2 linked regions of the Alligator mississippiensis genome follow. The protein of the gene in region 2 purifies or fractionates together with the protein of the main gene of each other region. This does not show direct contact. Links are inferred from orthologs where the notes say so. Each region holds a gene or a part of one and is shown on either strand. Other genes may lie near its edges.

Region 1 (3,740 bases), on a different chromosome or scaffold from region 2:
CTCCTGGATTCAGGCATTGGGATGAGTCCCAGCTCTCAAGTAAAGCGAGCTCCAAGGCCTCACAGTGGTGGAGAAAAGCTGGAAACTGAAAGGTGCCAAACCTCACAGTCAACGGCATCATTGAGCATGTGCTGGTTAGAAACAGCACTCTCATGAATGGAGGCATGTGGGACTCCTTAGCTTTGCAATAAGGTTTTGCAGCCTGGGCTGCGCCATCCCTGGAAGTTGATAAAAGGTTGTCAAACCTGCCACACACACATGGTGAGGGAGGGCAGGCTAGGGGTGTGTCTGGGAGGGGTACAGCGGTGCTGTCATGCTGCATGTTGGTTCCTGCTCCACCCAGAGTTTAAAGCCAACTGTCTGGCAGCAGCATTGGCACCTCAGGCAGCAGCTAGGTTGTCAAGCAAATTCACAGCTTATTACAATTTACCTCATCCCGTCTAAACCTGTTCCTAGGTGTTAACAACCCTCTCTCTTCATTAATGGTCTTAATGTTCCCCCAGTCAAGCTGGCCTTTCTTCAGCCACTCTGCCGCCCCAGTCTCTGCCTCTGGCAACTAGGCTGCTCTTTCCCAGCCCTGCGGGTGGTTTGTAACCGACTCCTACGAAGTCCTGTTGGTTTCTGCTTCCACCTGAAACGGGAAACACTGGCCCAGGCCCCTGGCCTACGAGCAGAGCATCTAGTTTCTTTTTATTTGTGGGTAAAGGAAGACCTCTGATGAAGATGGCAGTACAGCACTGGAACAGACACCCCCGAGAGGCGGCGGGCTCTCCATCCTTGGAGGTTTTGAAGCCCTGGCTACACAATGCTGTGGCCAGGACAATCTAGCTGGGGCTGGCTCTGCTCTGAGCAGGAGACAGGCCAGATGTGACCTCCCGTGGTCCCTTCTGGTTCTCATTTTCTATCATTCGAGAGACTGTGCGCCACGTTACACTCGACAGCGCCTTTCACCACCTGTGCCCTTCGCAAAATCCTGGACATGCCCAAGGGGCGCACCATGGGCCACAGCCCCAATGCACCAGGGAAGCCCTGCGGGGGCTCAGCTCAAGCAGCACCCAGGGGCGAAGGCCAGGGAAGCGCTGAGGGACCCTGCCGCCGGGGCGGGTTGGGGGCCTAGTCGAGATGGTGGGGCGGGGACCTGGGCTCAGCGCCAGCCCCTCCCCCGCCGCCCGCACTCCCCGAGGGAGATGGGGCGGGAGCTGCTGCTATAAATAGCCCGCGCGCCGCGATTGGCTGAGGGAAAAAATGGTCGGAGCACGTGACTTTCCAGCTAAAAATTCCAAGATGGCGGATCCCGTCATGGGCTGAGTCCGTTGGTGGCGCGCGCGCCGCTGTGTCAGCGCCAGCCCCCGCCACTGCCCTCCCCGTGACCCGCTCCAGCTCCCGGGGCCCGTGCCCGCCGTCCAGGTCAGTGCCTGCCGCTCGCGCCCTGCCCGCCGCGCCTTGCGCCCGCCTTTGCCCGCAGGCAGCCGCTGCGCGGCCCCTTTAAGACTTCGGGTGTTTCTGTCCTCCGGCTTTGACTTGTAGGAAGGCCGATCCCGGCCGCCGGGCCCTTAAAGGGATCGGTCCCACCCGGCTGTTTTTTTCTCTCTGCTCCGACCGTGAAACGCCGAGGGTCCGGAGGGGGGGCGGGGCGGGGCGGGGCGGGGCCGCGGAGGGGGAAAGGAGAGAGTGATGGACGGACAGCGCATCCAATCCGAGCCATGCGTGTTGCAGTGGCGGGTGCATTTAAGCCGCTCGAAGCTTCGAGCTGGACTCTGATTGCCCGCGACTGGAAACAGGGCGCGGCGGCCGTGGCTGGCCAGTCAGGGCTGGAGGAGCGGGGCCGGGGGTGGGCCTTGGCGAGACAGACGCCTGGCTTGCCCAGTCGGCGCGGAGCGGCGTGGTCCGCCCCCTCGCGGCTTAGCGTGGCCGGGGTTTTTGTGAATGAGGCGGGTGGGGCGGGGGCTGCCGCAAGTCCCGCCCCCCTCTCCCCGGCGCTGCGGCTCCTCCCCCCTCCCCCCCGGAGAGCAGCGCCGCTGCCGCCTCGGTGCTAAGAGCGGCGGGAGCGGGCGCGGGAGGGATGCGGGCAGCGGTGAGTGCGGCCGAGCCGGGCGGGGCCGCGATCCCTGCGGGTGCGGAGCAGCCCTGGGTGATGGGAGGACGGGCGGGCGCGCTTGTCCGTGTGTCTGGCTGCCGCGGGGATGCGCGGGCGGGCGGGCTGGCTGGGTAGGGTCTTGGTCCCCCCCGCTCCGGGCCCGCTCCTTCCCGCCCGCCGGGGCCGGAGCCCGCCCAGTTGTTTACAGTCACGGTCAAAAAGCCTCCGGGTTCAAACCCCATCGGGCTTGTCCCAGGACCCCGCTTCCCCGCAGGGCCGGGCAGGTGGGCTCGCACGAGGTGCCGAAGAGCCTGGAGGGTTTTGGCAGCGGAACTTGTTTTTTCTGCCTCTTCCCGCCGCCGCCTGCAGCAGCTCGTGAAGTGGGTTTGGGGGAGAGGATGCCCGGGGCTACTGGGCATGGTTTAAAAGCGATTTCTAAGGCTGCTGTCACTTGGGGCCCCTGGTTCTTCTTATTTTTAAATGGTTTTTTGCCGGGTGTCAAAGTCACAAAGTCTGTGACTTGGCAAATGCAGGGTTGGGGGGGAGCTTTTTTTTGTTTTTTTTTTGGGTTCTTTTGCTATAGGGGAAAAATATTTGGTGTATTTCATTTCCTCATTGCAAATCCCACTGCCAAGCCAGCCGGGCAGCGTTTTGCTTGTCCACTTGGATGACAAGTGGACAAGCAAATAGCCGCTCTTTGATTGGCAAGCGCCGGCGCAGTTGGCTCAGCCAATAGAGGAAAAAAAACAAAGCTTGTGTTTCAGGTACTGCGTTTTCAAAATGTAGTTGGACTGTTGCAGTGCTGCTGATGTAAAGTGCATAAGAACAGGATTAGGACCCGCTTAGGTTAATGTTTGTAAGCACAGGCTCTTATGGCCTGTGCCTGCCCCCCCCCCCCCCCCCCCCCCCCCGAAATTGCTGTGCAATCAGAAGGGAATTTTACTCTTAACTCTGAAGTGTTGGATTTGTGCAACAATTTTCATGTCATAGTTTTAAAAAAATTAATTATAATGTATTTGGAGCAGAGAGAAGGGAGGTGTTGCTGAGCAGTTGTGTGTGGGTTTATGCTGCAGGAATTCATCAGGAAAGATACTGTGCAACACTTGAGCTTCTTAAATGTTATCTTCGCATTTTTGTGGCATGGCAAATGCAGCATGACATCTTAAGCTTTTTCACTTTTTTACATGCCAGTTTACTTGACATTATACCAGGCTACCTTGTACCATTTGGAGGGTGGTAAACCTGATCCATTTTTTTTTCTTTAAAACCTTTGTAATAGCATTATGTAGCTCATGTACATGCCTGCGTGACACTGAAGGGTTCTTGTTGTTTTAGCAGTTTGTCAATAGATTTGCTGTGACAGCTTTAATGTCAAGGTTTGCAGAAATTAGGCTTGTCACTTAAATTGTTGACTTACTGGATTTAATGGTACATTTATTACCATCAAGTTACTTAGTGGTTTAAGGTGAGGTGAGCTTTAGTAAATTCTGCAGATGATTGGGTTGTCTGTTGAGGTGAATGCCATCTGTATGCCTGGATTCAGGGAACACATTGTCATGCTGGGGGCCACAGACACCAGTTCCTTTCTATGAATTCATCTCCAATATGGCTATCTGCATGGTTTGAGTTCGTTTGGAGACCTAGCAGTATTCCAGTCCCTGCA
Region 2 (3,740 bases):
TTAGCAGCGGCCGGTCCTCCGCCGGGAGCTGCGGCTCCCAGCCCGCTGCACAGCGCGGGGAGCGCTCCCGCCTTCCCCGCTCGCGCTCCCGGACGCCGCCTGTTGCTGAAGTTTCCAGCGCCAAGGACTTCGCTGCACTCCTCGCCCACCCCCGCCGGTGCAACTACGGCGGCGGCAGGTCGCTTCTCGCCCGAGCAGCTGCACAGGACGGGAGCGCCCCGCCTCCCCTCGGCACCCAGCGCCCAGGGCGAGGCGTGGCGCCGCGCGCCCGCTCCCCGCAGTCGGTCTGGGGAAGCCGCGGTCCCGCCTCAGCCGCTTCTCCCCGGGCCAAAAAAGGGGGGGGGGGGAAAAGACGGGGGCGATTTACTGCTCGGCCCCGCCCCGCCCCGCCCCGCCCCGCCCCGCCTCTTCGGGCTCAGCTGGCGGGCAGGCGCCAAGCGGGCCGCGCCGGGGAAGGGGAAGCCCCGGATCCACGTGCTGGTCCCGAGCCCAGCAGCCGGAGCCGCGCTGAGGAATCGCCGCCACGTGACGGAGGCGGGCCAGAGGCAGGGCAGTGGGGACGCGCAGGAGGGGCCGGTGCGTGACCGCGGCGCGGGCCTGGCGGGATGCCGTGAAAAGGCGGAGTTTAGTGCCCGGGGCTCCCTGGGGTGCCCCCCGCGGAGGACGGCCGGGCCGGGCCGGGCCCGGAACAACAGCTGCTCGGGTCTCTGCGCCTAGCCCGCGCCACTGCCGCCGGCCCCCGACGGGCGCGAACGCACAGCCCCGGAGCAGGGCAGGGCGCGGGGGAGCTGCCGGGCGCAGCCTTTTGTCCCTGAACCCGCCCCTCCCTTCCCGGGCAGCTTCACTTCCGGGATAGCGGCGCCCACGTGGGACGGATCCATTACACGCGCGGGGGGGAAGACACCAGCTTTACCCCAACCCCTTTCGCAGGGAGGCGGGCCGACGCTTCCGCTCCAGCCAATCAGCGCCAACGATAGGCCCCGTCTCTCCTCCCCCTTCCGGACGGAGCCTTGCCACATTCGGCCGGGAAGCGCAAGCCGAGAGGCGGCCGGGCCTTGTGATGGGCCGGGCCAGGCCACGCTGGGAGTCCACCCAATAGTGGGGGGGCGGGGCGAAACCCTCCGGCCAGTAGGAGCGGGGCGAATCCCGCCCAAGCCGGCGGGGCAGGGGTGCCCGTGCAGCTTGTCCGCGGCGGCGGGAGCCCGCGCGGGGCTCGGGGGCTGCGGCCGCTGCACGCGGGGGGCGGGATCTGTCGCTTGCCCCGCCCCGGCTGCGCTCGTGCCCTGCACAGCATAGCCTGGCCCGCCCCGCCCGCAGTCCGGCGGGGAAGGCACCCGCTACGGCGGCGAGCTCGGCTCGCACGGCTCCGTGCCCGCGGGCAGGCGCCACACGCAGCCCAGCCCCGGCCTCCGCCTCCCTGCGAGCGCGGGCAGGGGCGCGGGATTGTGGGAGAAGGGGGGGGGGAGCTCCGCTCGGGGGCGGGCATCTCCCTCCCACCAGCACGGAGGAGGCGGGGTGGGAGAGGCAGCTCCATGTTTGCGAGCGGATCAGCTGGGAGAGCGCCGCGCGGCTGCTGCCCGGCCCGGGGGCGCCTGCAACTGGGGCGCGCGGCGGTCGGGCCCGGGGATTCCCCCCCGGTGTGGGGGCAGCTGCAGCCCGCGCCTCCCCGCCCGGCCGCAGACCCACTCGCGCCCAACAAGTTTCCCGGGGGGCCCCGCGCGGCCCGGGCTCCGCTGCCGCCCCGCGTGTGCGGCCGCGCTCAGACCCCCGCCCCCGGCAGCGCCCGCGAAGCCCCGCGCACAAACCAGCCAAACAAGCGCCTGGACCCGCGGCCCCGAAGCGCGACGCCGCTTTGTTTATTCCGAGCCAAAAAGCAAGGGGGAACGCCCCGCGCACGCACCGCCCGGCGGCCCCGACCCCTCGGGACAGCCCCCGCCTCCGGGCGCCCCCGGCCCCACGCGCGGGAGGGGAAAGCAAAGCCCTTTTCCTGCTTTTAATCTCTCCCTTCCCGTCCTTAGCTGAGCCGAGCGCGCGGTCCCCCTCGGGCCCGGGCCCCGGACGGACGGCGCTGCCCGCGGCCCCCCCTGCCCCGGCCCGCCCCCTCCCCCGAAAACGCCCGATATTTTCCAGCCTCAATGGGAAGCAGCTGTTACATACCCTCAGCGCCGCGGCCGGGAGTCCTGAATGGGCGGCACCGCCCCCGCGCCGGGATTGGCCTCCGCCGCCAGCCCGTCAGCGCAGCACCGCCCGCCGGGGCGGGCCGACTGCGGCCGGGGCCGGGCTCCCCCCGCGCCCGCCGCCCGCAGCCCCGGCCCTGGTGCAGGCGGAGCTCGGTGCCGAGCGGCCATTTGCGAGCGCGGAGCCGCGGCCGCTCCGGCTGCCTCTCCCCAGGCTGGGGAGCCGGGCGCCGCCTGCTCGGAGGTGCCGGCTCCGGGGCGCTCGAGGAGCACGCCCCATTAAACTTTCCAACACGCCGGGTAGGTAGGAGTGTTTCTCCCCCATCTCCCGCCAGGGAAACTTGAGGCACGGGGCTTCCAGGGAGCGGCCTGAGAGCTGGGGCAGAGAGGAGCTAGAGCCGGGGTGTCCTGGCTCCTGGGGCTGCGCTCGTGGGTGGGTGAGGAGAGCAGGGCTGTGGCTTTGGCGCCAGCAGATGTTGGGGATCTGAGGTGGAGTGTAAATGCTCCGGCAGTATTGGGGACCCTTCGGGCTTGAATGCAGAGTCGGCCGCCTGCTGTGCATTTCCAGTGGAGAGGGAAGGAAATAAAGCTAGACTTATTTCACGTGCTCTGGATATTAAAGGATGGTGGGATGCAGGTAGATGATATCTTCAGCCTTCCTTATCCACACCACGGGTGCAGTCAAAGCCATGTGCTGGCTTACTGGCCAAGGGCTGTCCTGCAGACCTTAAAGTCCATTTGGGGGGTTTCAGGTGGCTCCCTGCAATGCACCTTTTGCAGGGGCAAGCAACTTCTTCCACCCATGGGCCAGAACAACCCACTCTGGGTCAAAGGCAGCTGAGCCGACACTAGGACCTGTCTCCCACCACTCCTTGTCCCCGCTATGCCATGGGCCTGCAGTCCAAGCCTCCTGCTGCCAAAGGTCTCTGAAGTGTCATGTCTGTGGGCTGGATCCAGCTCACAGGCCATAGGTTGCTGACCCCTGGCCTACCATAAAGGAAAGGCACCTTGATTTTCTACACCAATGTTAGCAACAGTGTATCTGTCCACCTACTTCAGGCCCAGGATAAGGAAATCCACAAAGCCTGGCAGTGCAGGGTCACAACTAATATGCCGTTGGTTACACTAGTATGTTCTAATAGTCTAGTCCATGATACTGTTACAGTAGGGGTGGATCTGTAGCTGGTTTAGGGCATGATCCTGTAAGAAGAGGCTGAGTACCTTTGTCAGCCAGTGAACTTGCTGCCTCCAGTGGTGGCTCAGCATTTCTTAGGTACAAGCCCCCAACTGACATGCCTCTGTCCCTAGTACACCAGTTTACGGTGTAAATTTGACCATTTGCTCACTATCTCTGTGGCCAGTCCTTTATTCCCTTCACTTTTCCCTGCTTCTGCTGCTCAGTACAAAGTGTTTTGAATATTACTCAGTTTAAAAATCAAGGTTACAAGATGGAGTATTTCAGCACAGCGCACAGCTCTGAACTCAGGAGCCACAAACCCCGGGTCTTCTTAAACCCAGGGTCTGAAACAAGCAACACAGCAGTAATATCCGTGCTGCAGTTTC

What was found. Proteins that work in one complex are often made in the same cells at the same time.
Region 1: the proteins of SIN3A (region 2) and HDAC4 purify together in Homo sapiens (affinity purification with western blotting; 3 studies listed by BioGRID and IntAct, with this or other methods). This does not show direct contact. The link is inferred for Alligator mississippiensis from reciprocal best matches to the Homo sapiens genes SIN3A and HDAC4.

The regions. Positions count from the first base shown.
Region 1 is NC_081827.1:182,303,005-182,306,744, forward strand, and holds the start of HDAC4 (histone deacetylase 4), read left to right. Parts: upstream 1-1,234; 5' UTR 1,235-1,407; intron 1,408-1,995; exon of another isoform or gene 1,996-2,074; intron 2,075-3,740. UniProt on the Homo sapiens protein: Responsible for the deacetylation of lysine residues on the N-terminal part of the core histones (H2A, H2B, H3 and H4).
Region 2 is NC_081834.1:27,956,936-27,960,675, forward strand, and holds the start of SIN3A (paired amphipathic helix protein Sin3a), read right to left. Parts: upstream 2,177-3,740; 5' UTR 2,158-2,176; intron 577-2,157; coding exon of another isoform or gene 1-576. Other genes in the region: basic proline-rich protein-like, read left to right, coding at 1-576. UniProt on the Homo sapiens protein: Acts as a transcriptional repressor. Corepressor for REST. Interacts with MXI1 to repress MYC responsive genes and antagonize MYC oncogenic activities. Also interacts with MXD1-MAX heterodimers to repress transcription by tethering SIN3A to DNA.